Caenorhabditis elegans: one gene and its partners. The protein of the gene in region 2 interacts with the protein of the main gene of each other region in a pairwise test. Each region holds a gene or a part of one and is shown on either strand. Other genes may lie near its edges.

Region 1 (6,103 bases), on a different chromosome or scaffold from region 2:
ATTATTTTTTCAGGTCCCTCCCGGCCGAGCACGTAACTATCGTGACGACATCACTGTTATTGTGATCCATTTCAATGAAACCTTCCTCGACGGTCACGAAGACGATGAAGAATAACTCTTAAAATTAATGCCATGCACACATTTTTATAGTCTTTACTGGTATTATCCCTATTTTAATTTTTGTAATCTCCCCTCTGTAGAGACGACGACTTTATGCCAAAGAGTCTCCCCGGTCTTTGTCTAGGTATCTTTTCTTGTATATAATAGTTGCATTTATTGTTAATTGGTGCTCAAGATCAATGATTCTTTTCTTTTCTCACATCGAAAAAAAAACATACAATCACAATAATTTAATGATTCAGTTAGTACATATCAAAGTGAGACAAAGGAATGAGATGTTATGTTTGACAATTTGGTGAAATTTTGGAGTTGGAGATCTGTCGATTATCGCATGTATCCTGGCTGGGCTCCTGGTGGAGGATATCCTTCGTATCCGTGTGGTGGTGGTGGTGGACCTCCAGGATATCCAGGCATTCCTGAAAGAAAATAAATTTCAGTGAATTTATAGTTTGAGGTGCAGAATCTTTGAGATTGGATTGGGATATAAAAATTTCAGAATTATTTTTAGAATGTACAAAAAGGCCAAAATTCCCCTGAAGTTTTTTTTCACCAATTTTTATTTTTTCGGGAAATTCTGGGAATTTTTTAACTCAAATAAGGTATTTTTCCACAATAATTACCTTGCGGCGGGTAAGGATAAGGCATTCGCTGTCCACTCATCTGCGGTGCTGGCTGTCCAAACGGTGGATACACAGGTGGCGGAGCTTGTCCATTAGGCTGTTGTTGCTGCTGCCGCATTTGTGCTTGATAAGCTTGATGATTCATCATCTCGGGTGGTACACCACCACCCATTGGCGGAGGAGCAAATCCGTGAGGCGGCTGCATTGGACCACCTGGACTTGGTGCCGCCTGTGGTGGCATCATTTGTTGACGATGGTGAGCGGCAGGAAGTCCTTGTTGAGGATGTGGATGGCCTTGTTGTGGTGAATGTTGTGGTTGTTGTTGTTGGAGATGTGGTGCCGGAGGACCAGAAGCTCCGGGTTGAGGCTGTTGTTGGTTAGGATCTGGAAGAGCGGCAGCAGCGGTACCATCATCTTTCAGCTGGCTTAGAAGGAATGGGTCTGCGAGATTTGAAAGATGTAACAAGTTCCGATGTAAAAGTTGTTGGTGTTTGATGGCTTCGTCAGCACGGCTCTGAAATGATTTTTTTATGATTAGAGGAGGAGTAATCGGTGCTCGAATTTCGAAATAAATTTTTAAAAAACGAAAAAATTCCATTAAATCTGAAAAATCGTTTGAATTACCGCTCTATGGTCTCTAAACTCCGCCCATGGAGCCATTCCGCACTTCAATTTTGAGGCAGAATTTTTTGTGTTTTTTTCTAATTTTTAATGAATAAAAAGGTCATAAACGTTTTTTTTTTGTATTTAAAAATTATTCAATAGAAAAAAAACATTGTTATTGTAGAGCTCTATAGAGTTCCGCGAAATTTAACAAAATCGATACGATTTTTTAAAAACAATTTTGCACATTTATGACGTATTTCTTTATTAAAAATTAGAAAAACAACACAAAAAAGATAAATTTGTGCCAAAATTGAAAAGTGCGACACGGTTCTATGGACGGTATTTATAGACCATAGTGCGGTAATTCAAATGAGGAACAGTTGAAAAATCGCCAAAATCATCTTTTTTTTCATACTTAGCAATTTTTACGATTTTCTTTTGTGGTATTTCGGCATTTGGGAATAGTGAGTATTTTAAGGTACTCCTTTTTTGCAAAAAAAAACAAACAAACCTGATTTAAATATTCCTGTATAATATCGATCAGCCTTGAGTTTTCATCGAGTAACTTCTGCACAGTTGACTGTTGATCTGGAACATTTGTTCGCATCGCTGGAGGTAGATGTGCCGTTGACATCTGGTGATTTATAAGAAATATAGAAAATAAACAGGGAAATCAAATTTTAAAAAAATACAAGTTGGATATTTTTGAAACCAACAAGAAACCAATACAATAATAGTTTTCAGTACAATATCGAGATAAATCTTCATTTTCTACACAAAAAAAAACAAAATCTAAATAGAAGCGGTTCAGTTTACTTCGTCTTTTAATAGAAATTTACTTAGTTCCAATTCTGGTTCTTCTGTTCCATGAGAAGTTTTGTCCGTAATTCTTTGGCTTAATCTTGCGCTCATGTGGCTCCTCGACGTCAAACTCCCAGCGATTCTTTTCACAGAAAGCGATAGCGTCCTCTTTTGTGGCAAACTTGAGATCCATTCCAACATTGGAGAGTGGATCCGCACTAAATTTTTTTTTTAAACTTTAAACTTCATTAAGATGCTACTCACGTTCCAGACCATCCCATCAATGGATTTTCCCATCTTTGACGATTATCCAGCTCAATGGTCCAGGACTTGGTATTACCCCAAGCACTTTGTGTAGTCTCTCTTGCTGGACGGAAGATGCGAGCGGTACGGGCATCTTGGTGATCAAGTGGAACACCTCCGATATCCATTGTCTCATCGGATGATACTTTTACTGGAGTCTGAAATATTTATTTCAATAAAAATGTCAAGTATAAACAATTTAAGTGCAATTCGCTGAATTTCGTGTATTAAAACAGGAAAAATCAACATTTAAATCTTACTTTTTGAGACGGTTTGTCAAGAATATCGTTGAGCTCAACCTTTTTGGCATCATGCGATCTTGTGACCGGTAGGTTGTCCTTTCCAGTCGAGAGGCAACGGAAAGCCGTGTTTCCCGCCGAAAGGCAACGAGAGGCTCCAGCACGAAGCATCTGTAAATTACTCCATTAATAAATAATTTAAAATTACAATACTGTGACGGATTAGAAAAAATAGAAAAGAATATTTAATTAAAATCAATAAATTGAGAGGAAAAAATATGAAAATAAAAAAAATGTTCGCGTTTTCAACGACACTCCGGTATAACGGTACCGCGTGTTGTTTATCGTAAATCAGATGTTTTTTGAGCTGAATTCATTTTTTAATTCGTTCATAATTTTAGGTCTAAAACTATAATTCAATAAAACTATAATTCAATTTAAACCATACAGATTGTTCTTTTACATTTAATTAATCAATTTAAAAGTATTTCCTAATAGAATTTCTCATAATTCACGAGACCCCATTGTGTTTTGATTTTTTTGACAGCTAGTGCTTGTACGAGAACACATACCATTCCCTTCTTGTGACTCATGTCACTTTTAATATTTATCACAATGATTGCCTTACAGTCTAAGTACATTCTTCACCCTTTGTCTCCCGTTGTAATATCCTTTCTAATTCTCTTGTGAGCTGTTCTTCTGACCTCAACCACCTTTTAATGTTCTTGGATAATAAACTTCATGAAAATTGTCAGTTTTTACACTTGTAACCACTCTTAAATTACCGCTTTCACAACACTTGTTTTAGTTTTCAGAATGTCAAGCTCCAGCGAGACCCAAGTCAACGTAGACACTGAAGAGGAAAGCTCGGTTCAAACATTGGAAGAATCAGAAGAAGATGAACAAGGAGGTGAGGAAGACGAAGAAGATGAAGAAGAAGAAGAAATAGACGAGGATCACTGGGTGGTAATACTGCAATTTGACTGAAACAGAAATACATTCAACTTTTTTTCAGGTCGAAAAAGTACAAGAAATGCGGTACAATGGAAAATTGAAAAGAGTCGAGTTTCTCGTTTTATGGCAAGCTGATAAATCGACATCTTGGGAGCCTATAGAAAATTTTCATGGTGGATATGAAAATTTGGAGATACAAAGATTCCAAACAGAGCATCCTAAACGATTTGAAGATGTCACTAATAAGGCAACTGTAGCAAATAAGAAAGGGAGACCGAAGAAGCAGCAAACATGGATTACAAAAGATATTGACGATGATATATACGAGAAGCCGGATGAATCTGCGCAAGGAGAAGCCAAAAGGCTGGCTGATCCGAATAGATTGCAAGATCCATCTGAAAAAGTACGAAATTGTTCTTAAATTTTCTAAAACCAAAATCGTTTTTCAGTTCCTAAAAACCTATGGCGTTGGAATCGAAGGCCGTGTGTCTCGTAGTAAAACTCGAGATATTCGTCGTACTATAGAGATGAGTAGCGCCGATTCATCGCCATCGGTCAGAAACCGGTCTCCAGTTCCAGTTGAAAAAGAGAAGAAGCAAAAGAAACCGCGTGGGGGAAAGAAGAAAGAGGCCGAGGTGTGAAAAATTGAAAACAACCCCCTATAGCGAGTTTTAAACGTCAAATTATTGAAAAAAAAAAGCCCAATTCCCAGAATAAAATATCAAAATCTTCACGAATTGGGAGAGGAAAAATTATATTTCTTCTCTTCTCCAGAAAAAATATTTACTACAGTAGAAATTAGTTTTTTTCTAATTTTTTTGTCGAATTTACCGAAAATTTCTAGGTTTAAAAATTAAAAACGAGTATTTCATTAATTTTACAATCTTTAACGTTTGTAGATCAAAGTAATAATATTTGATCATAATCTGCAACCCGCCACTTTTCATACTTTTCGGGCGGATTATGCATCATATTCATTCTCTTTCGTTTGTCATTCGCGCTTTTAATTATAACACAGGCCTGATTAGAAAACCCTCGTGCTCCGCTCCATCGAGCCTGATTCCTTTCACTTTTTTTTTGGATAAATCTCAACGAAAAGCTTTCTATTACGGGTATCGGTTCTTTTTTCCGCGCTTTTGTAGTGGAAATAGCGAATAAATTTAGGAAAAATCGTGCCTGAGAGTTGCAAAATTAGGATCTGCCTCTTTTTCTGTGCGATCCGAATTTTCGCAAAATTTACAGATCGATCGTTTAATTTTAACAGTACGAAATTCTATTTGGTCAATAAGAAAAAAAAACTCAAAAACCCGTGAACTTTCACGTGGATTCCGAGCTGCACGTGTGTCATCCACATGGCAACGCACTTACCTTATCCTCTTCTCATTCAATAAAATCTTTTTTGCTTCTTCATACATAAAATTTTCACTTTTCGTTCATAACGTCCACCTGCTCTTCATTTCATACGAAAGTCTAATTTATACATACACTCAAAATAATAAAACTGCGTGGCGTGTACTGCAGAAAACCTAATATTTAGGCCCCGCCTTTTTTCGTCCACTCACGGGGAAAAGGCAAAATTCGGGGACCAACCAATATCAGGCCGCCGACATCTCATGGGTTCCGCGCGCCGCTATGTTTAACTCGCAGCGGGCGGAGACAGCTTGCCACACCCACAACGAGTTAAACATAGCGGCGCGCGGAACCCATGAGATGTCGGCGGCCTGATATTGGTTGGTCCTCGAATTTTGCCTTTTCCGAGTGGACGATAAAAAGGCGGGGTCTAATTATGAGGTTTTCTGCAGTACACTCCACGCAGTTTTATTATTTCGAGTGTAGTGACCCGGAACCAGAAAAAAAAGAAATGATAGATTTTTCTTTGTCCTCTCCGTGACATCAAATTTTTTCGAGAGGGTGAAAAAAGAAGAAATTCACACCCTCCTTCCTCTTTTTTCTTAGTCATCGATATGTTAGTTTCAATAATGGATATTTTTCATGTTATGATGCAAATCGTGGATCGCGTTGCATAGCTATATCTATAGATACTCATTAATCTCATTTTTCCATGCCGCATTTCGATTTTTAAAAATATCGCCTCAAATTCTTCGTTTTGCTTTTAATTTTGAAGTGGAAAAGAGATTTTATGGCTAAAAAAATATTCACTCTTTGTATAAAATACTTAAAATAATTGTTCTCCATGATTTCCACAAGTTTTTTCGTTGTGTGCTGAGTTCTGTAAACAAAAGTAACGAAATTTTCGAATTTCCATACAGAATTCAGCACACGGCGCTGGAACTTGCGGGAATCACGAATAAACATTATTTTAAATATTTTAAAAATAATTGATTTTGTTATAGTCAGAATACCTTTTTTTTAAACTTGATAAAAATCTAAATGCGGCACGGAAAAATGGGCGTGGGTTTGAGACAAAGCGCGGTAATTCAAATTAGGAGTCATAATGGA
Region 2 (11,206 bases):
TCACAGTGAACAATGAAGTTTTGCTGCTGTGGGCACAGAACGCCTGTTTGCGTGCCAACCAAGGAAATTGTCAAATTATTTTTACTTTCGAAAAAAAAAATTTCTCGATATTTTTAAATTTTTTTTTGAAACCGAAACTTTCGGGGTCTGAGCATTTTTTTTTAACGGTGAATTCTTTTACCCCGAAGAAGAACTTATTAAAATTGCCAAACGTGTTTGAAAATTAAAAACGTGTTGAAACAGTAAACATTTTGTTATTTTAAGAATTTTATAGTGCATCAAATGAACACTTAATTAATTTGAAGAAAAATTCCAAAATAGAAACTACTGTGTAGAAACAGTGAAAATTTTTCAATAGCTTTCGGATTTATTTTCCAGATAATTTTTTCCGTACGTTTTAATAAAAATTCCGAATTCTCGTCTATATTTTCTGATGACCCTGAAACATGAGCTCATTTTTTGAATTTTATTAAAGCAAAAAGACTGCCTACTGCCTGCCTTTAGGCCCAAAATTCAGCCAATATAGAGGCTGGAAGGCATACCTGTAGTTTAATTGGTCCCGTCAAGTATCAAAATATGTAAAACGAGTTTCATTTATGAAAACTTGCTGAAACCGTAAAAATTTACAATTACTTCCACAAATTGTATATTGTTAAATTCCACACAGAAGCCAGTTCTTATTAATTTGAAGCAAATTTTAAAAATATAGAATGCTATTTAGAAACAGTAAAAAATTTCGAATTTTCACAAAAAATAAAAAACATGATTCTTGTGATTCTTTGCTGCAGAAAAAAACGAAAAATTACTAAACCCCATGTATTTTCTCAGGACCTTGAAACATTAGCTGATTTTTCAAAAACTCAGAAAAAAATCGAGGTTCGAGATGATTCACTTGCCTTTTTCTACGTGTACGTCAGGGCTTCCAGGCAGGCGCAGTTTCAGTGCCTGCCTGAAACCTGCTCGCCTAACGCCGGCCTTTTACCTATTTCATGCGTTTTGGTTTGATTCAATTTTTTTGAAAATCAAATTAAGAAATTAAAAAAAAAAGAGTTTTCATATGTTTCAGCATAAGGTGCAGGTTGAGGCAAGAGGCAGGCGTAGGCCACCTTAAGGTCAGGCAGGCAGACGTTTTGACGCCTACATGGAATTTCTTTGCCGAATTTAAAATTTTAGTTTACTGAACAAAAAATGTACTGTTTCACGTATTCCATGAATTTCCATATTTTGAAAACGTGATATTAGGACACATCCCAGCCTGTCTTACTATTAGCCACCGAAAAACGTAAATTTATGTCTTTGGAATACCAATTTATATGTTTCTAATTTGAAACAAAATACTTCTTCGAAGTGTTACAAAATTGAAAAATGAATTCTTAACATGAAAAGAAGTCACAGCACGGCCGAGAATTTATTCGATTAACATTAACAATCTGAAACAGTCAATTTTTTTTGTCCAATTTTCTAAAACTTAAAGTTTTAACACTTTAGTAAGAGAAAAGTCAATCTGAAAATGAAAACTGCATTTCTGTCCTCCACTAATTGTTAGCTGGGAATTCTCTCTGAAATTCCTGATTTTAGTATCAGAATCTATTTGTCGATAGTGGTAAATCAATAACCCGATCAAAATATGCAAAACGAGTTTAAAATTTAATAACTTGTTGAAACAGTCAAAATTTCGCTAATTTAAAACGAGTAAAGATTCTGTATTAATTTAAAGCAAAAAAAAAAACAATTTGAAAATATTAAAAACCAGTTAGAAACAGTAAATTTTTTATTTCTCATGACCATGAAACATAAGCACATTTTCCAAGTTGGAATGCTCTGTAAAACGAAATAATTGATAGAAAAATTTCAATTTATATCTAACTGTAAATGACCCTTATTAGGATGTAATACAGAAGGATAATCGATAACAATTCATTTTCCATATTGAATATGAGTAACCTGAAACAGTAAACTTTTCATCCAACTTTCTGTAAATTTTGCTGTGCCTTTTGTGTTATTTCAATTAAAAATTGCCATTGATACTTGACTTATCTGAAACAAGATACATTTTTTCTAAAAATTTGAACTTGTAAGTCTTATAAGCTCTATTAATTACCTAGTTTGAACAAAAAACGAAACTTCAGCTCACTAACTAGTGAAATCGAACTTCGAAGTAATGTTTGACAATTTTTGCTTTCCGACAATAGCAGCATTAAACTTGAAAAAAATTTAAATATTGAGAAACATTATTCGATTCATATGTAAGCAATCTGAAACAATATATATGTTTTCTAAAATATTATACTACCTTCATTTTCAACACTGTATTACCCCATTTTATACATTCAGACAATATCAGTAATCTGAAACAGTATTGTTTTCTTCTCAAGTTTGAAATCTTTAAGGTTCCATATAGAAATAGCCCCAGTATAATTTTTTTTTCAATTTCTTTTTCCCGGTATATTCAGATTACTTGTCAGATTGTTATAAAATTTCCAGACTCTAAGCCAATTTTAAAACACGCAAAATTATTTCAGCTTGGCCGAAAAAAAATTAAAAAAAACTAAATTTTCGGTTTCAACACCACATTTTATAATCCTCAAAATGCTAGAACAGTAGTGAGAAATAATAATAGAACTTCATACACTCAGAATAAAAAACTGGAATAAATCTAGCAACGTATAAATAAAATGTTGGTATTTTTAAAGACAACTTGAAACAGTGGAAAAATGTTAAAATTTTCCAAAATTTCCGTCAAATCGTCGTTCACCCAAAATTTGAAAATTTTCCAGATTTTTCAAATTGTTTTCCAATAAAAAATATTTGAATAAAAACCACAAAAACATACATACTTTCGAACATTTTTAGAACATTTGAACAGTAATTTGTCGCGTCGAGACCCGATACAGTAATTTTCGCGCAAAATTTCACGGTTGGGTAATACAAGTAGAACCTTAAATGTTCATGTTCAGCTCATTTTATAATAACTTGAAAAAACCACTACTGTTTCAAAATTAATTTGAACGATTTTTTTTTTGAAAAAAAAAACATATTTTTCTCTAATCCCTCAATAATATCTCCATTTTTTTCCGTCCCCCCAATCATCACAGATATCAGCTGAGACAGGGGAAAAGTGGTGTGAAAACACACAAGTCTCTGCGTCTAGCGGTGTGTAACACTGTCTGCGTCTCTGTGCTCTCTTTGATACTCTCTCCCGTGTGTGTGTGTGCTCCTGGAGCTCTTATACATTTCCAAGTGTTTCTGCTCTCTGCATCTCTTGCCCATTTTCCGCTTTTTTGAGCCAACAACTTCTCATTAGTTTTTTCCTTCGAGTTCTTGTGCAGAGCCACGGCTCTTTCAACAACTCGCACAAATTGAAAGTTTTCGCAATTTTTTCTTGCATTGCACGTACATATTTTCTTTTTTTTTTTCATAATTATTGATGAAAATGAATATGTTTTGTCAAGCGAATATGCTACATTGAAAGTTTTCAGAAACAGTGAAAAATCAAATTGAAATTAACAAAATCTTTCAAAATTTAATCACTTATTTGAAACAGTAAAAAATTTTTTAAAGTATACGTCGATTCTGAAAATACACTGAAAATGAAATAAAATTCTTGAAACTGTAAAAAAATTTTTAACCAATTTTTTTTCACAAATTTTTCTTTGAAAACGTTTCCTTTTTATTACCTCCTTGTCTTCCCATTCCCTTCATTAAAAATCTGAAATTTCCAGACATGATGGGCTCATCGTCGCAAGAGCTTCAAACAGCTCTAACCGACGTCTCAAAGACCTGCCATCACTTGTGGGAAGAGAATAAGGACCTCCAAGGCAGATTTGTGAATGAACTCGGCGAGCTTCAACGTCTGCAAATGGTCATTGCACAGCTGGAACAGCAACAGAGACTAGAAAATGTATTCACTGTGAAACAGCAAATGACAGAGTTACAGAAAAGAGCAGCCACACTTTATGAGCATTTGACACAGAAAAGAAATGATATTGTCATTAAACTTAATGATGGCACCAATTTTGCGACGATGCTACAGGTTGGTTCTTCTAATGTGAAAAAATATGAAAAAAACATAAAAAAAATTTTACTGTTTCAAAGTTTTGTGAAATATGAATTAAAATTTTTTACTTTACTTGACTGTCGAAGACCATTTCCATTAAAAAACTCTAATACAAGATTTACTTTTTTGAAAAATCCTTCAAATTTTGAAGAATTTTGCATGTTCAGTAAATTCATGCTAAAAATATTTTTATTCTTTTAATGTTTCAAGTGAATGTTTTGTTTAAAAAAAGCATTAAGAAATCTTTTAATATGAAATTACATCAAAAATGAACTGAAATACAAAAATTAATTAAAAATTTAATGTTTCCCATGCATTTCATATATTGAACGCGCGAAAATGTCATACTTTAAAACTGGCCTGCAATCTAGCTCTCTTATCTGAAAAAAAGTTAGTTATAATATTTACAGTTTCACACTTTTATCAAATTTAATCTTTTTTTTCCTTTTACATTGATTTTGCATAAAATTTGACAATTTTTTTTAAAGAGAAATATTTTTAAAAAAATACTGTTTCACAGTTTAATCAAATTTTCTATGCGTTGCAATATTTTAATCAATCTTCATTTCCAGACCCAACTAATTGGCGAAAAGCTGTTCTCCTGGAAAAATGCCCAAAAACTTGCCCAAATCGGAATGCCTTTCGATAATCGCGAACAGCTGCTTGATGAAATTCAAATTGAATTCGAATTTCTCGCTGATCAAAACTGGCAGCTTAACATGTTCTCGTGTTGGATGCTCGACTTGCTCCGACGTGCTCCACAGTTAAATGATGGGCTCGCTCAGGCAACAATTGGAAAGTTGACTGCAATTACAGAACAATTGAACAAATTACTTTTTATGCTGGTTTCACAGAGTTTTATTGTTTCCGTTCAACCGGAACCTGTTTTGAAGACTCAACATAAATTTGTCACTGAGGTTTGTTTTTTAATGGAAATTATACATGTCAAATTTTGGTGGGTCCCGCCGCGAAAACCACACCGTCGTGACGAGACCCAACTTAGTTAGAATTCAAGCAAATTATAAGAAACAATAAAAAAAAATTCAAAAATTTTAATTAAAACTTTACCGTTTCAAAAGTCATTCAAATAAATATGTAAGTCATACTCAACAATTTTATTTAAGAAGTTCAATTCGAATATAATGTGTGCCACGCATTTGTTCAGCTTGAAAATTTCTGGGTCCCACCACAAAAACTACAGTTCCACCCCACCTAATTTTACGGGTTACTGTAGTTTCCGCTGTGGGACGCAGCAATTTCAGAATCCTGATTTTTCAATAAAATTACAAAAAAAAACTAAAATTTCCAGGTCCGTCTTCTCATTGGCGATAAGCTGGGAATTCGTCAACACCTGGTGAACACAAATGTTTCAGTGAAAATTATAGCAGAAGATGAAGCCAAGCAGTTGAGTGTTGACTATGATGCACATAAGGAAATGTGAGTTTTTTTTAATGAAAAATTTGAAACAGTAAATTTTTGAAAAATTGAGAAAATTTTTTTTTCTAAAACTTATACTTTTTCGTATTATTTTTATATACTTTTCTTATTTTTTGTGGTTAATTTGTAGTTGTATCACTATATTCAACACTAATATTTTTCAGCCGTAACAACAAGACAGTTGGCACAATTTCCAATGATTTCGAGAAGCTCACAATGAATGAAAGAGGACACTTGGCGGCAAAATTCAATAATTCAAAATTGACAAGAATTGCACACAGAAAACCGCCCCCAAAAGGAGCATCTGACTTGAAATGTGCAGCAAGTATGCAGGCAGCTACTGATCAGAAATATGCTCTTTTATTCTTTATTACACCTTTTCAAATGGGTAATTTGAGCAAAGTAAGTTGTTGATATTTCAATTATGACTTGATTTTTTTTGAACGTAGTCAGTAACTCAAACTCAAATGCAAAATCTTTTAAAAACAACGTGAAACAGCAAAACATTTATTTTTTATTTTTTCACTGTTTCAACAAAAAGTTTAAAATTTATTTCAAAATTTGAGTCTGATAAACGAACAATGGTTGAACCAAACATTTCCAACATTTCTTTCGGTTTTCACTTTGAATTACTGAAATTTTCTAACTGGATTAGTAAAAGCAGTAATTCTATATTCAAAAAAGTGTAAAGAAACTTGAGAATTTTCACTGTTTCAGCTACTCTTAATTTTCAAAATTTAATATGTCCTCCAATTTCTATCAATTAAAATTTAACAGGAAGAACAATTCGACGTTTGGACACTTTCTCTTCCAATAATGGTTACAGTACACGGATCTCAAGACTGTGACGCGCAAGTTGCAATTCTCTGGCACCGCGCATTCGCCTCAATCAGCAGAAATCCAAATACAACTGATGTGACAGCTGTGACATGGGACAATCTAGCAATAATGCTTCGAAACAAGTTCTCCTTATTCACGGGAGCACGTCGTCCACTTTCAGATTCAGATTTGGCATATTTAAGTGAGAAAATGTTAATGCCAAATGTGGCAGATCAGAAGCCAATCACATTTCATCGATTCGCAAAACAGGCAATGAGAGATGACTTACCATTCTCATTTTGGGAATGGTTTTTCTCAATAATGCAATTAATCAAACAAAAACTGCTCAAATTCTGGGATGAGGGATGGTGCATTGGATTTATTTCAAAAAATGATGCGTCTCAAAGTATGATGATGTGTCAGCACTCTTCATTTTTATTGAGATTCTCTGACAGTCAAACTGGTGCTGTATCGATTGGTTTTGTTTGTGAAGAGGCTGATGGACAAAAGATTCCATTTCATTTGGCACCTTTTACTATTAAGGATTTGGATCAATTGTCACTGGCAAGTCGTATTGCTTCATGTCCACAATTGAAGGATATTCGGTTAGTTTTAGACGCGAAAAGTTTACCATGTTGTTAAGTATGCTTAGTTACGGTCAAAAATGGAAATGTTTAAAAAAAATTGGAAAAATGAAAAAAATTATACTGTTTCACTAAATATTTTATGTGGTTAAGAAATTGGACAAAAAATAAAAAGTTCAAAAATACTACTTTTTCATTGAAGAATCATAAATAGCCTCAATTGCAATAGTTTGATATTTCTGTAACCACGAAAGTGAATTGAATTTTCACGCGATTACTGGGACGTAAGTATCGTACCTGCCTACGTACCTGCCTACCGCCTATTTTCTGCGCCCTGGCGGGAAATTATGTGATCTATGTTCTCACCGTCCAAAAAAAAAAAAACTTCAACTGTTTCACTTAAGAATTATATAAGTTGTTCCTTCTTTTTTTAATGTTAAGAAAATACTCCTTCATCTTTTCTAATTATTATAATTTGATTAAACTCTTTTCAATCAGTGATCAATTTAAACAAAAAATGTTAAAATTAAAGTCAGAAGTGCCAAATAAAAAAAAAGGGTAAATAAAAGTTAATTTTAGGAGTGAAAACTTAACAAGATGTTAAGTTTGTTCAGTTACAGTAAAAAATAAGTGTGAAGAAAATTGAAAAAATGAAAAAAAATTATACTGTTTCACTAAATACTTTTATCATTTGGTTTGAAGTTATTGCATTCTTATTGCATTCTCTTTCATAACAACAATTTTCGGGTCTTACCACGTTTTGAAACCTTTGAATTTCAAAATTTTGCTATGAAAACTGGCACATTTAAACAAAACAAATATTTTTTATGTGGTTAAGAAATTGGAAAAATTTGAGAAAAAGTTCAAATTTTCTACTGTTTCATTGAATAATCATAAATAGCTTCAATTGCAATCGTTTGATATTTCTAATCTTTGTGAATCACCCTGAAAAATATATATAAATAATGTTCACATTTTTCACATTCACATCAGTACTAAGAAATACACCTTCTTGCCTTGTGCTTACCTACCTACCACCTATTTTCTGCGGCCCGGCTGGAAATTATGTGATTTATGATTTCACCGTTCAGGCTGAAGCACTTTTGATAATATTTCTGAACGTGGATATAAATTATGTCAGCAGTTATTTTGAACAAAATTAACAAAAATTTGAAAAAAAACTTCAACTGTTTCACTTAAGAATTATAAAAGTTGTCCCTTCTTTTGTTAATGTTGCAATTCCGAAATACTTATTACAACAAATGCATCATTATAATTTGATCTAAATCTTTTGAAACTGTGATCATTTTACAAAAATATTCAAATGAAAGTTAAAATTGCCAATTTAAATAAAATACAGGAATTTAAAAAAATTTTTTTTTTTTCTATTGTTTCACTAAATAATTTTATATGGTTTTTTTCATTGAACGATATTGAAAATGGCATCAATTGTATAATTGTTAAATACACTTTTCTCCGTACTTTTTAGGTCTCATCACCATCTCGATACTGTGATTTTTAATAATTTATTATAAGAACTGTCAGCACAGCAGTTTTGAACAAAAAGTTTCATTTCCAAATATTTCATTTTTCTACTGTTTCATTGAATAATTATTAAAAACATCAGTCCCATTTTTCTGATATATTTTTTAAAAATATTTTTTGGATCCAATTAGTAAACATCATGAAAGTACATGAAATGTTAACATGAACACTTTCTATAACTGGACACCTCCTGCCTGCCTACCTACTTGCCTACCGCCTATTTTCCGTTTTTACTCCAACTGTAATTTTTTGAATTTTCTCGTTATAGGCAAAAGTGGGTTACAAATGACACTTTTTAAAATTGGATAATAACGGTGTGAAAATAGAATGAATGCAGAAACATGCGCTCGTGAATAATAACTAACTGAAACTGGGTGGAATTTTTACTAAAATAAAATCCGGAAATTGTGAAAACTGCACGGAGTAACTCAAAAAACTAATCGTTTTTATAAAAATTCTAAGGCAAAAAAGTTAGCCTGTCTGCCTACGGTGTAATTCTTCAAGAAAGTCAAATTTTGAAATTAGTGAATTAAAAAAAAATTATGCTGTTTCAGGTTGTTGATAAATTATCGGTTAATTTCTAACATCAGTAAACATCTCACATCTGGTCGAAAGTTTGAAAATATTAGATACAATCGATGTAAGGGCTGCTATGTTGGGCCGAAAATTACTGTTTGACTATAGGCAAGCTACGCCTGACGTGTGCCTTCTACCAGGGGAAGAATGTGTTTCATTTCTTTGCCATTAAATTAATTGAAATAATAACACTTACATTTAAATTTTCGGCTTAGTTGAAACAATGGTAGGCAGCAATGTAGGCAGAACGACTTGCCTACCTACAGCTTCAACAAGGCCTTAGCGCCTACTTAGAAAGCCTGATGAATTTAAAGCAATTTATTTTGGAAAAATGCCAAAGCATGTTTCAAGTTGTTCATTTTTCAAAGTCTAATATTCAAAAATATTAGTGAATCACTCAGTTTTTTTTTGAAAAAAAAACAAGGTCTCGCAACGGTTTATAATTCTTATTTTACTTTGAAAAATAACCGCCAGCCTATTAAAAATACGAATTAAAAAAAAACGCAAAATGAAAATATTTTTCTGTTTCACTGAAAAGAGATAAGATCATGGCTTAGAATTCGGACAATGCCTCTTCAAAAAATGACAAAAAATGTTTCAAATTGTCTATTTGTAAATCATGTTTCTGAAAAATTTAAATTTTTCCAGAAGTCGCAGATTTTAGAGTCGAGACCCAATTTTTAAGGTTTGACAAAACATTGACTTGAGCTGTAATCTCTCAAAATACATTGTAGACATGTAAAATGTGAAAATGTTTCTACCAATAGAAATTGAAATTAGAAAACAACAATTTTTCTCACAAATTCTTGAAACAGTGAAAAATTTTTTATTTCAACCGAGTTAATTAAGGTAGCAACACATAACTAACAGCGTTCCTCTTAACTTACAAATTTTGAAACATGAAATAAAAACCTCTAAATTTCAGATACATGTACCCGGCAATCGATAAAGAAGAAATGCTGCGTTTCTTCGAGTCCGAGGAGCGTCATCGCGTGGGCGGTGGTGACAGTCCAACTGGATATATTCAAAGTGAAATTGTCATGGTTGCAAAAACAAATGGGTAGGTTACAGATGGAAAGTTTAGAAATTCGGTTTATTTTAGGAATTTCAGACGAATGTCCAATGCACCGTCCATGTTTGGTGCAGATTCTCCGTCACCGTTGTCGGTTCAAAGCAAATTGGATTGGTCACCCGGGGAGGTTCATCAGAATCATATGATGGAGATGTGAGTGATGTGTTCAAAAAGTTTATGCGTTCGGGGGGAATCGAACCCCCGTCGAATGCTTGGAAGGCATCCATGCTGACCATTACACCACGAACGCGGCGAGAAGTCGCTTTCTCAGTGGCCGTTATCAAACTAATGACATCTCATCTAAAGTGACATTCGATAAAGAAATTTCCAAAAATTACAAAATGCGCTCCAATGCTAATTCCACTGTTTTTTCCAGGTCCGACGAACTTGGTCAAATCCTAACAGTCTCGGATATGTCGGGAGATGTAGAAACTCTATTGGGACCAGCATTCAAGAATAATATCACAAACTACAATCCACACGATGGAAATCATCAGCATAACCTTCATTTTGTGGATATGTCCCAACAGGGAATGATGCAACAGCACCACAATCAATTTTATCCCTCATAAAACACTATTTAAATGTTAAAACAGTCCCCCCAATTACCTCTTTTTGAATTTCTCTGTCTCCAGTTTAGTATTCATATCTTTGCTTCTTTCGTGCTGTCCATCTTCCTCAATTCTTTGATAATCTAATATTATTTTGACAATATTTACTGAAAATAATATTAATAATCACAAGTGATTTCTGATCTCATCCAATAAATTATTTTACTGTAAATCGAATGTTTTGATCTGTTCCACGATGGAGACAGGAAGCTAGAAAGTTTCATATAAGCACGTGATTCTAACCAAAAAAAAAAAATTAATTTTACTGTTTCAGGAAAATGTTATCAGTAAATGCAATTTCTAAATATCGATGGGGATCAAGAGCACGATCATAATTTAAACTGTAGGAGATGAAACTGGAGAAGTCGTGGAATTGAGATGAAAGAAAATAGAATAGAACTATTGTCTTCTCACTAAAGGAAAACTGAATTTTCAGACAAACATAACAGAAAACATGACATGTTCAATAACTTTTTCAAATATCTGTAAATGGCAAATCAAGCCC
Region 3 (3,124 bases), on a different chromosome or scaffold from region 2:
TCTGGAGGTCAAGGACAACAAGGACCAGCAGGACCAGCCGGACCAGACGGACAACCAGGACAGCCAGGTCAAGATGGACAAGCCGGAGCACCAGGAAACGATGGAGCCCCAGGAGCCGATGCTGCTTACTGCCCATGCCCATCCCGCAGTGGATCTTCCTCAGCAGTTGAAACTGGAGCTGCCGAGCAGGGATACCGTCACCGTGCTGTTGCTGCTCGCCACCGCAACGTCATTCGTCGCCGTGTCGCCAAGAAGCGCGTCGTCAAGAAGAAGCGTGTTGTTGCCCGTCAAGCTTAAATGACCATTCACCTATCAACTCATTTAATGATTGAAATTCGAATAAAACAGTTTTCTATATTTTTTCTGAACTTCGCAAGATAGCAAAACGGTTTGATTTAATGATCTTCTTACTAAAAATGAGAAGAATGAAAGAGATAATAAAGAAAATCGGAAAGGTAAAAACAACTGCCAAGGTCACTAACTTTCTATTTCTTTGCATCCATCCAACTTGAGAAAAAGGGAGTGGAAAGAGAAAAGGAGTAAATCGGAATAAAATGAACAAAGAAAGTGTTACATTTTAGATTGAATCGGACTAGAAAAAAAGAAGAAAGAGATGGAAGTTTACTGCAAAACGAAGAAGGAAATGCCTCTATTGTGAATGCAACTTTTGAATAATAGAGCAAGAGAGCAAAATAAGCCACGTGGGGGAGCTAATGAATAGGAACGGAACTAGACTTTTCAAAAGAAACTTTTTCTGTGTATTGACCGATTGACCAAACTCTGTGGGAATATCTGGGGGATAGGGACTTTCAGAAAAAAAAATCAGAAATGCCTTCATCAAAAATCTAGTGAGTTCACTGTTTTTGATACTAGGTGCTAGATGTTTTGCTCTATGCAGATTTGAGGTTTCATAAACTTCATTCTGTACATCAAACGTATAAATCGTGGAATCGTGGCGAGACCCACTCGGAAAAAGCATGTCCCTTTAAACTGACATGTCAAAATTTAACAAAATTACGATATCATTCGAAGCTTCTAAAAAATCGGAGACGCGCAAAACGGAAATTTGCGATTTTGCATATCAATCTTCTAATTAGCTGAAAAATTTCCTAAAATCTACAATTTCTTCTGCCAGACTGAAGTTAAACCTTGATAACATTTGCCCGTAATCGTCAATTACGGTTTATTTCTGCAGAAGAACCAACGAGATACCGATCATGAGTCTCTCGTCGTGGTCATCGTCACGAAGCAATGAACTGATCGAAAAACGGACACAACACCCAAAAAGTACTTTTTCGGTTAGTAAAAAGTTATTGAGAATGGCAAAAGTTACTTCCTCCTGTTCGGTAAAAAATGTCTGGGTTTCCACGAAACGCATGCCAACTTGTTAGCAACATCACAAAGCAGTTACACAACACCTCTGGATCGCTTTCTCTCGTCGCTTCGAAAGTGTACACTCTATCTAATCAGAAGACAAAACCGAAAAACAGTTTCACGTAGTTTACCGGTATAAAAGGGCTAGTTGCTTACTGTCAAACCACAGCAGTCGTTTGCGAGGATGTCGACAACCTTCCTTTCGGTAATGGCCGGTTTATCCGGTATTGTGGTCTTCGGAGCTCTTATCTCCGTTTTCCACATCTACACCGACATCAACTCCTTCGTTGATGAGGCTCATCGTGAGCTCGGAGCTTTCAGAGTAAGTACCATAAAAATACTTTGTTTCAAAAGCATTCATTTTTCTAGGGAGTTGCTAATGATGCCTGGAACTCGATGGTTAATCATGATGATTCTGCCCGTGTTGCCCGTAGCGTCTTCGTTCGTCGCCAAAAAAAACAATCCCAATGCAACTGCGGACCACAAGCCTCCAACTGCCCAGCCGGACCACCAGGACCACCAGGAGCTTCTGGAGACAGAGGACTTGACGGACAACCAGGACCAGCCGGAAAGCCAGGACAACCAGGAGTTGCTGGACCAGCTCACCACCAACAGCAAGAGTGCATCAAGTGCCCACAAGGAGCACCAGGACCAGCCGGAGCACCAGGAAACCCAGGACCACAAGGACCAAACGGAAACCCAGGAGCACCAGCCCACGGAGGAGGCCAAGGACCACCAGGACCACCAGGACCAGCTGGAGACGCTGGATCTCCAGGACAAGCCGGAGCCCCAGGAAACCCAGGACGCCCAGGACAATCTGGACAGCGTTCCCGCGGACTCCCAGGACCATCCGGACGTCCAGGACCACAAGGACCACCAGGAGCCCCAGGACAACCAGGAAGCGGAAGCACTCCAGGACCAGCCGGACCACCAGGACCACCAGGACCAAACGGACAACCAGGACACCCAGGACAAGACGGACAACCAGGAGCCCCAGGAAACGATGGAGCCCCAGGATCTGACGCCGCTTATTGTCCATGCCCAGCTCGCAGTGCCGCAGTTTTCCGTCACCGTAATGTTGCTGTCAACCGTCACCGTGCTGTTGCCAAGAAGCGCGTTGTCGCCAAGAAGCGTGTTGTCGCCAGAAAGCGCGTCGTTGCTGCCAGACGTCACGTTCAAGCATAAAGCAATATATCCTACCAAAGTAGAAATTCCTGATAGATTTTTGTCGAATAAACTCATTTTCATTATCTGTAATTTGATCTTGCAACACGAGCCCTTTCAAATAATCGTCGATTTCTTATTTCCCTTTCACTCATCACTTTCGCTAAGCAAATCGAACGCGGCGCATGGTTTTTTTTAGTATTCTGGTGTCAGCGGCGGCACGGACATTGATGAAAAGATAGGAGAAGATAATCAAGTCGTCGCATATCTGAATTATCGCTATCACCTCGACGCGTTCATAAAAACTCTGCGAATCGAGAACGGTAAGATGCAGGTCAAGAAAACCGCAGAAAAAGCAGTCCCGGTGTGGTCGAAGGAGGAGGAGGAATCATGAAAAAGCAACGAGTGGGATCTCGAGATAACCGCTATTTTATCCACAACGCTACTCCGTCGTTAGCCGCTCGTCTCTCAAATTCAGCGATCCTTATCCAGACATCCTTCTGACACCTTTCTGACATTCATATAGACTGCGGTGACTGGACCCTAAGATCTATAGACTAAAACCACCCAATCCGGTCTTGTAGGT
Region 4 (7,842 bases), about 15 Mb from region 2:
CACGCGCTGTATAATGACCCGAAAGGTGTCGGATGCTTCGGGGATTCCAAACCCTAGTGCATCCCCATCTGGAGCTCACTTCAGTGCACCATGACCACCAGAAAACGAGGAAGTCGATGCACCATGAGTAGATTGCCTTGGATTTTAGAGATCCATGAAGTTTCCAGAACTAAGTAAACTAATTTTAAATTTCTGCGTGTTATACAAATGCCCAATGAAAAATTGAAAAATTCTTCTATTCGCTAACAATGAAATTTGTTCCAATCAATCCAACTTCCCCTTCTCTTTCTGTTCTCTTATCACGGTTACAGCAAGACATTTTTTGCGTATAGGTTCCCCATGGAAACCGTCTTGAAACCGGTTCTTATCATGGATTCGCAGTAAAGAGGCGGAACTTCTGGGGGTTAGTATATAATGGCACCTGATAAGAATGGAATTGGCAAAACTTTCCGACTTTTACTTTTCCTCGCAAACAATTAACTTTGATTCAGTACAATTTTTGATTCCTTACCATTTCATTTCAGATGGGCGCCTTCGGGACATTAGCATGTGCTTCCGCTACGGTCCTCACAATCGGATCCTTGGCAACGATGTGCCTTATCGTTTCCGACATCAATGGGCTTTACAACGACGTGATGGAAGAGTCCCGAACAACTCGTGAGGTTGCTGATGACGCCTGGGAGGAGCTGCTCCGCAAGAACGGAGCCCCTGAAGCTTCCCGTGCCGCTGTGACCGCCATGCTATTCGGAAGAAATAAGAGAAACGCTCAGTGTAACTGTGGAGCCAAGAGCAAGGGATGCCCAGCAGGACCACCTGGACCACGTGGACCAAATGGTGCTCCAGGACTTGACGGACCAGATGGGCTTGATGGACCTGATGGACATCCTGGATATGCTGCGGCAATCAAGGAGAATTTTGGAGGAGCTTGCATCTCTTGCCCAGCAGGACCAGCTGGACCACCAGGGCCAGATGGTTGTGCAGGAGAGCCGGGAACCGATGGCGCCCCAGGAGAAGACGGACAGAATGGAGCACCAGGATCCCCAGGAGGACCAGGAGAGACCGGACCACAAGGACATCAAGGAAAGCCTGGAAGAGCCGGACCACGAGGACCACCGGGAGCCAAGGGACAAACCTACCTTCCAGGATCAGCAGGACATCCAGGAAACAGTGGACGTCGTGGACCACCTGGACCACCGGGAGCCAATGGAAAGAACGGAAAGCAGGGAGCCGATGGAATTCCAGGCGCCGGAGGAGCACCAGGACAACACGGAGTTCCTGGAGTCGATGGATCCGATGGAGCACCGGGAGAGGATGCCGCGCCAGGTGGAGACGCTGCCTACTGTCCATGCCCAACGAGATCGGTGGCTGTCGAGGCAGCGCCATCGCAGGCAGAGCAGATCTACAAGACTCATTAGAGAGCTTTTTAATAAAGAATGTCGCATTTCAAATGGTTTTTGTGGTTTTTTTAGTTTCTGGGGTTGCGAAATGACTTCAGCTTGTATGGTTTCAGATTTTTCATATCAGATTATCAGCACTGAACGAGGTCTCAGCACAGGGAGTCTCGCCACAATGGGTCTTACCACGAAGGGTCTCACTGCAATGGGTCTCACCACGGAGGGTCTGGCCTCGATGGGTCCCGCTACGATAGGTCTCGCCACGATAGATCGCACTGCGGGGATCTCACCACGGGGGGTCTCACCACGACAAAGGATCTCGCAACGATGGATCTCTGAAATTTTGAGAAAATGTGCATTTGAAGCACATTTTTGAGACCATTTTATACAGTTATGAAAAAGTAATGAATTTATTTTTTTTTAATTTCAAATTTCAAATTGATGTATCACATAAAATCGTATAAAATCTATGTACAATTACGAATTCATAATTCACAAAAAAAACGACAACCCGAAAACCCGTACAATAAAAACAATACACACAAAATCATTGTTACACAATCACAGTTTTCAAAGCATCATTCGGATTGACCTCGATCGTGGCGACGGCGCCACGTGGGAACGGGATCTTTGTGGATCCGTCAAGGACCAGGTATCCGTTGGTGCATCGGGATTCGAGTTTGATCTTTCTGGCGAATCCGCGGGTCGCCGTGCGTTTGTAGGTGGCGTTGAAGATCGGCTCACGGATTGAGAAGGCGAAACCTGGAAAGTTAAAAGTGAAAGTGAGATAATGAGAAATTCTCAAATTTGAGTTTTCTGAAGCCTGACGATGAGGCCAGCCATGGGGTCCTTTTCTCAGTCCTTTTCCATGTCTGTGCAGGGTCTTATATTTGGAATTGTGTAATCAAAAATACCCCTGACATTTTGTTTCCAACTCAACAAACCCAAATTCCAATCAACTTTCAAAAAACTCACTAGGATGATCTGGCTCGAACGGGATCTTCTCATTCACCGAATTCACCACCTTCTCCACCAAATTCCTTGTGATCGGCACATCCACGCCAAGTGATTGCAGTGCCTCCAACACTGACGTCGTCGCATTCTCATCGATCCTGTTCATTCCGAGGTACCAACTCGTCGATCCGGTCCCAGTCGACACAATCAACCCGGAGGACTTTTGCTTGACTGTCTGCGAATCGTCGATGGAAATATTGTAGGTTGAGACTTTGGCGGCTTCATCCTCTCCGATGAACACCTCGTTCAGGGCGAGGTTTGTTGATTTTTCAGACCTCTTCAATGAGAAAATCGAGTTCCGGGATTCCTTTACTGTTACCCGTATCCTCGTCCTCTGCACCCACTTCAAGTTTCCAGAGACCAGACGCTCGATCAAATCGCGAGGTGGATTCTTGCCACCGACACACAGGTGTCCTTCACTTCCGATCGGGTCAGTGTTGATACCGATGATTGGGGTGTTGTCGTTGACCACGGAAGCTGCAGCCAAGAAGGTTCCATCACCACCGGCAGAGATCACCAGATCAGCTTCAGGCAGGTACTGGGCTAGCTGCTCGCGAGTCACAACTTTTGTGGAGATGCCTGCTTTGCCAAGTTCGGAGACAATTTCCTGCACTGCGTTTACTTGTTTCTTCTCGTTTTCGAGGAGCTCTTGAACCTTGGTGCCTTTTGAGGAGAGGTGCCTGAAAAGATTTAGTAGCTGGGAATATAGCCTGATAGACATTTTTACATTCAAATGAGGTCAGTAGACTTTTGTCAATTGCAGACACCATGGGAAAAATACACAGTTTCGGTTTTTAGCCTAAATATAATTTTCCAAATTTCTGTATGATAGGATATAGGTGAAGCAAAACATGGTGCATCGACCGGACACCTTATACATATTTTATATAGTGTTAATGTTATTAAAATTAAATTCAGGAAACAACCTATTGAATATGAACTTTAAGACATGGTGCATCGACCGAAAATTATCTTCTTTGGTAGCTCATATCTCTGTCTGTTTTAGCGTTATCAAAAAGTTGCTCACAGGCGAAATATGAAATATATGTTTTTCTACTATTTTGTAATAACAATTGTTTGAGTACCTAAAAGATGAACAAAGCTACAAGCTTTAGAAGTGGCTTGAGACATGGTGCATCGACCGGAACCAGCTTTGATAGCTTATATCTCATTTGGCTTTGGGTTTATCGAAAAGTTGCTTTCTGACAAAATATTTAAATATTTGATTTTCTACAGTTTTGTAGTTAAAAATTTTTTACTTTTTACTACCTATAAAATGAACAAAGATATGGACTCTGAATGTGGAGGAAGACATGGACATACATTATTGCAGTTTCAATTTTTTAGTATCTAAAAGATGAACAAAGTTACAAGCTTTAGAAATGGCGTGAGACATGGTGCAATGACTAGAACCAGCTTCCACAGTTTTTATCTCGTTGTATTTGGTTTTAAAAGAAAACTGTCAACTAATAAAATTATTTTTAGCTATGTGCCTATAGTATCTTAAAAATGAACAAAGATATGAGCTTTCAAAGTGGAGATGCAAAACGTGATGCATCGACGAGCAGCTTTGGTTGTAAAACTCACTTTTTCAGATCAGCATCGCTCAAGCCCGTCTGCTCCTTCTCCCATTGCCATCGTGTGCTCTTTCGAAGGATCAACGCAAACCGGATCGCCTAAAAATTTGCTCCAAAACAAGGCTTAAAATCGAAATTTGGCTCACCGGCTGCTGTCTGCTTCCGCTCGGTTTTCCTTGTGTTACCGGAGAAACTGGGCGCGCCACGTGGCTCACGCAGTGAGAAATTGCCAAAGCGGCCATGATGGACGGCTGGAATTATAAATTATTAGAAATTGGAAATGGATATTTAATGGAATCAAAAAAGAGAGAGAGAAAAGGTTAAAATATGATAGAAAAGCTTATCAGTTAGTTTTTTTTTCAGCCGCCTCATCACACACGAAAAGTCATTCGAGAATTCGCCAAAAAATCAACACAAATGGCACCATTATTTTCAAATTTCCAAAATTTCAAAATTTCAAAAATTTTTCCCGATTTATAAATAAACGGGGCTCCGCCTTCCGAACGTCTGGGCGCCGCCCACCGTTCCGGTAGGCTACAACAATAGAAATTGTGTGGGAGGTGGTGGTTTGTTCCCCTCGTGCTCAGATGTGCTCGCAATGTTTGATTTTTGAGGAGAAATTGAAAGTTGAGAATTGAGAATTGACACAAAGTAAATAAATGGTGTTGAAATGATACTTGACGCCATGATGGAATTTTTTGGAAAAAATGGTGTTTTGATCGGCTGGAGTATAAGGAGTATAAGTTTAAGCTGTGATATCTCTACGAGTAGAGGAGTTATCAAAAATATGCCAACTAATAAAATATAGAACTTTAAAAGTTGCGTATTTTCGTAGTTGGCAACTTTTTAATGGAGTTCACCTCCGCGGAGTTACAGACGCCTGGAGGTTCAGTGGTGAAGGGTGAGCAGTAGTGTCGAAGACTAGAAATCGTTGTAATTTGTTGGAAAGTGGATTTATCAAAAAACTGTTAAACTAGCAATTTATTTATCACATAAAACTGTACATTTTTGTAATTTGCAACTTTTTCATAACAGTAACCTCCGTTTAGTTACAGGCGCCTAAAGTTTGGTGGTGAAGCGGCAAGGGAGCCGATGAAGAGAGCTACTGAAATTTCTGCCCTTGTATCTCCTCGGAGAATAAATTTATCCTAAAATTGTTAACTAACAAATTATTTACCACATAAAACTGAACATTTTTGTAATTGTGAACTTTTTCATAAAACTACCCTCCGCTGAGTTACAGGAGCATAAAGGTTTAGTGGTGAGAAGTAGGGTGCCAATGGCTGAAGCTAGCACCCTCCGTATCTTGTCGAATAGTTGATTTGTCGCAAAATTGTTCATTAAAAGATTATTTACCACATAAAACTGAACATTTTTGTAATTTTCATCTTTTTCATAGCATTAACCTCCGCTGAGTTATAGCCGCCTTAAAAAAACACTACATGCTCAAGTTAACAACTGTTGAATAACTTTTACTTCGAAGGAGTTAAAAGGAGTTAAAAGTAAAAATACGTTATGAGAATTTGATTTTAAAAGGCTGCGGGATTCAGCTTGTGCTAAAACCTCTATACCTCGTCGAAAAGTAAATTTATCACAAAATTGTTAAATTACAAAATATTCATCTCATAAAACTATAAATGCAACCGAACGCATTTTTTGATACCACTCACTTCCACTGAGTAACGGGCGCCAAACCGTTCAATAAACAGTGCAAATGCTTTCTAACAGTCTGCGCCTCCACTGATTCCATTATATTTTTTTCTTCGGCAATTAAAAAAAAAGAAAAATGACCGTTTTCTATGCTGGGAGAACCAAAGAGAATTCGTTGAAAATCAATTTTCAAAACAAAAACAGCGGCGATGATTTCGAAACATACGATGTGACCAATGACCAAAAACTATAGAGCACGGGAGACCACAAAATTTTGTGTCCGACTAGAGAAATGGGTGAGAATGGGGGAAATTCGGAGTTTTTTATTAAGAAAATAGTAAAAATTCGAGTTTTAAATCTAGTAACTCATGAAGAAGTCTTATCAAAAAGGCTGCACAAATTACGCGATTGCTCTCCGCTCTTCTTGAGAACCAAAGAACCAAAGAACGCGTGAATGATTCAAAAGGGGGTATTTAAAGGCACATGCACACCGCCGAGACACAAAGAGACACAGTGTGAGTGTGCGCGTAGCCATGATGACAAATGGCTAGATTGCGACCTGACCCTTCTAAATTTTGTGCCCTGGGCTTCAGCAGGGCTTTATGGAAGTGATCATTGTGATATTGTAATACATTGTGACCACACAAAACTGAACAGCTTTGAGGGCTTATATCTTTGCTACTTTAAAATACAACAAGAAAAGTTTAACTGCAATGTTACAGAAAAAGATTTGAAAAATATTTTAGTAGTTGACAAAATTATGATAACCCCCTAGACAACTGAGATATCGATGCACCATGCTTTGCAAATCAACCACAGGAGCCTATATCTCTGCTATTTTCGAAGATATTGAAAAACTTCTAACTAGAAAAATGCTTGATATTTGGTTAGTTGACAAAATTTTGATCAGACCACAGGCAAGCGAAATTAATGCTAAGCGAGGTTTTTCTGGTCGATGCACCATGACTTGCAGCAAAGTTAATTTTGAAAATATTTAAAATTCAACTATTTACATATAGAAGTTTTTGAAATTCTTTCAAGCCATCTAAAAATACATTTAACTCCACGTCGTTTTGCCATGTGACCCTTCTTCCGGTGGTCACCTTGCTCAAAACAATAATATTTGCTCATTTATCTATTTATTGTCCACAATAATCCCACCGGTTCCAACACAGTACATATATTTATTTAAATGATGTGTCCTTTTGCCAAACCCCCGGTCTCACCTGATGTTGTCATCATCGTTATCACTGTACACATTTTTATGACCGCGTCTTGTTTAGAACGACCAAAATACACGTGAATGACACGTGGCTGACTACAAACTACAAAACAAGCACTAATTGACTACTGTCACTTTTTTGGGCACATCTTGTCTGATGTTTAGAGAGAAATACAAAATAGTTAAAAAGTTGTTATTTTGTGGTCTATAAGATCTAACATACAATTTTTCGAGTTGAATGAATATGGAATTTGAGTTCGAATTTGTCAAATTCGGTTAATACAATTAATTTCAACCAAATAATTTAAATTTTTGGGATGGAACTACAAAATAAATTGAATAAATTGTAAAACATGGTGCATCCACCGAAAAGGCTCTTGATAGGTCTTCTGTGTAGGCGTTAAAACGCCTACCTGTCTGGCCTTAAGGCGGATCTCCGCCTGACTCTCGCCTCAATACGCGCCTTATGCTAAAACATACCTAAATTTTTTTTTCCTTTCACAATTTGATTTTCAAAACAATAATGATAGAAATCAGAAAGTTTGCTATTTGAAAACTCACTCCAAGAGGCAGAAAAGAGGCAAAGCATTTTTCAGGCAGGCGTCAGGTCCTGAGACCGCGCCTGCGTACCATGGAAGCTTTAGCTCTGGGAATTAAGAATTAAAGGAAAATACTAAATTATCAACAAAAAAAAACGATTTCGAAAAGGTGAATTGCATCAAGAAGAACTGCGGAATAGATTTGCGCGCGGCGTGCTTGTCAACGAAAATCGCATCAAATCAATGATGACGAAGTGCGTATAGTCCCCCTGGAAAATCTTATCAAATCAATCACACACGCATCACATAGCGACTAGTTTTTTTGGTCGATTTGAAAAATATTTGAAAGTATAGGGTGGAGATTTTTGGTTCAAACTAAGTTCGTGTTGGCACAGTGACCTCCAAGACAGTTTTTGAAATTGGGTGATAGATTTTTGTCTAAGAAA

The links.
Region 1: the proteins of sta-1 (region 2) and lpd-5 interact in a two-hybrid assay, tested with the Caenorhabditis elegans proteins (one large-scale study listed by BioGRID).
Region 3: the proteins of sta-1 (region 2) and col-80 interact in a two-hybrid assay, tested with the Caenorhabditis elegans proteins (one large-scale study listed by BioGRID).
Region 4: the proteins of sta-1 (region 2) and nadk-1 interact in a two-hybrid assay, tested with the Caenorhabditis elegans proteins (one large-scale study listed by BioGRID).

The regions. Positions count from the first base shown.
Region 1 is NC_003279.8:4,370,159-4,376,261, forward strand, and holds lpd-5 (NADH dehydrogenase [ubiquinone] iron-sulfur protein 4, mitochondrial), read right to left. Parts: upstream 2,861-6,103; coding exon 2,711-2,860; intron 2,609-2,710; coding exon 2,412-2,608; intron 2,366-2,411; coding exon 2,182-2,365; 3' UTR 2,097-2,181; downstream 1-2,096. Other genes in the region: pdp-1 (PPM-type phosphatase domain-containing protein), read left to right, coding at 14-115; ZK973.9 (SS18 N-terminal domain-containing protein), read right to left, coding at 445-536, 741-1,254, 1,858-1,953; cec-10 (Chromo domain-containing protein), read left to right, coding at 3,506-3,655, 3,705-4,046, 4,093-4,278.
Region 2 is NC_003282.8:16,660,598-16,671,803, forward strand, and holds sta-1 (Signal transducer and activator of transcription 1), read left to right. Parts: upstream 1-3,722; 5' UTR 3,723-3,724; coding exon 3,725-4,033; intron 4,034-4,129; exon of another isoform or gene 4,130-4,150; intron 4,151-4,405; exon of another isoform or gene 4,406-4,426; intron 4,427-4,509; exon of another isoform or gene 4,510-4,530; intron 4,531-4,612; exon of another isoform or gene 4,613-4,629; coding exon 4,630-4,974; intron 4,975-4,987; exon of another isoform or gene 4,988-5,008; intron 5,009-5,170; exon of another isoform or gene 5,171-5,191; intron 5,192-5,366; coding exon 5,367-5,494; intron 5,495-5,617; exon of another isoform or gene 5,618-5,638; intron 5,639-5,658; coding exon 5,659-5,896; intron 5,897-5,924; exon of another isoform or gene 5,925-5,945; intron 5,946-6,064; exon of another isoform or gene 6,065-6,085; intron 6,086-6,271; coding exon 6,272-6,918; coding exon of another isoform or gene 6,919-6,955; intron 6,956-7,065; exon of another isoform or gene 7,066-7,086; intron 7,087-7,131; exon of another isoform or gene 7,132-7,152; intron 7,153-7,333; exon of another isoform or gene 7,334-7,354; intron 7,355-7,391; exon of another isoform or gene 7,392-7,412; intron 7,413-7,607; exon of another isoform or gene 7,608-7,629; intron 7,630-7,817; and 27 more. UniProt on the Caenorhabditis elegans protein: Carries out a dual function: signal transduction and activation of transcription. Activated STAT proteins play a role in repression of dauer formation.
Region 3 is NC_003280.10:10,705,664-10,708,787, forward strand, and holds col-80 (Putative cuticle collagen 80), read left to right. Parts: upstream 1-1,537; 5' UTR 1,538-1,558; coding exon 1,559-1,696; intron 1,697-1,743; coding exon 1,744-2,559; 3' UTR 2,560-2,624; downstream 2,625-3,124. Other genes in the region: col-39 (Cuticle collagen 39), read left to right, coding at 1-297. UniProt on the Caenorhabditis elegans protein: Nematode cuticles are composed largely of collagen-like proteins. The cuticle functions both as an exoskeleton and as a barrier to protect the worm from its environment.
Region 4 is NC_003282.8:1,453,469-1,461,310, reverse strand, and holds nadk-1 (NAD(+) kinase), read right to left. Parts: upstream 4,237-7,842; 5' UTR 4,228-4,236; coding exon 4,132-4,227; intron 4,085-4,131; coding exon 3,996-4,084; intron 3,089-3,995; coding exon 2,370-3,088; intron 2,157-2,369; coding exon 1,948-2,156; 3' UTR 1,790-1,947; downstream 1-1,789. Other genes in the region: col-106 (Nematode cuticle collagen N-terminal domain-containing protein), read left to right, coding at 525-1,415.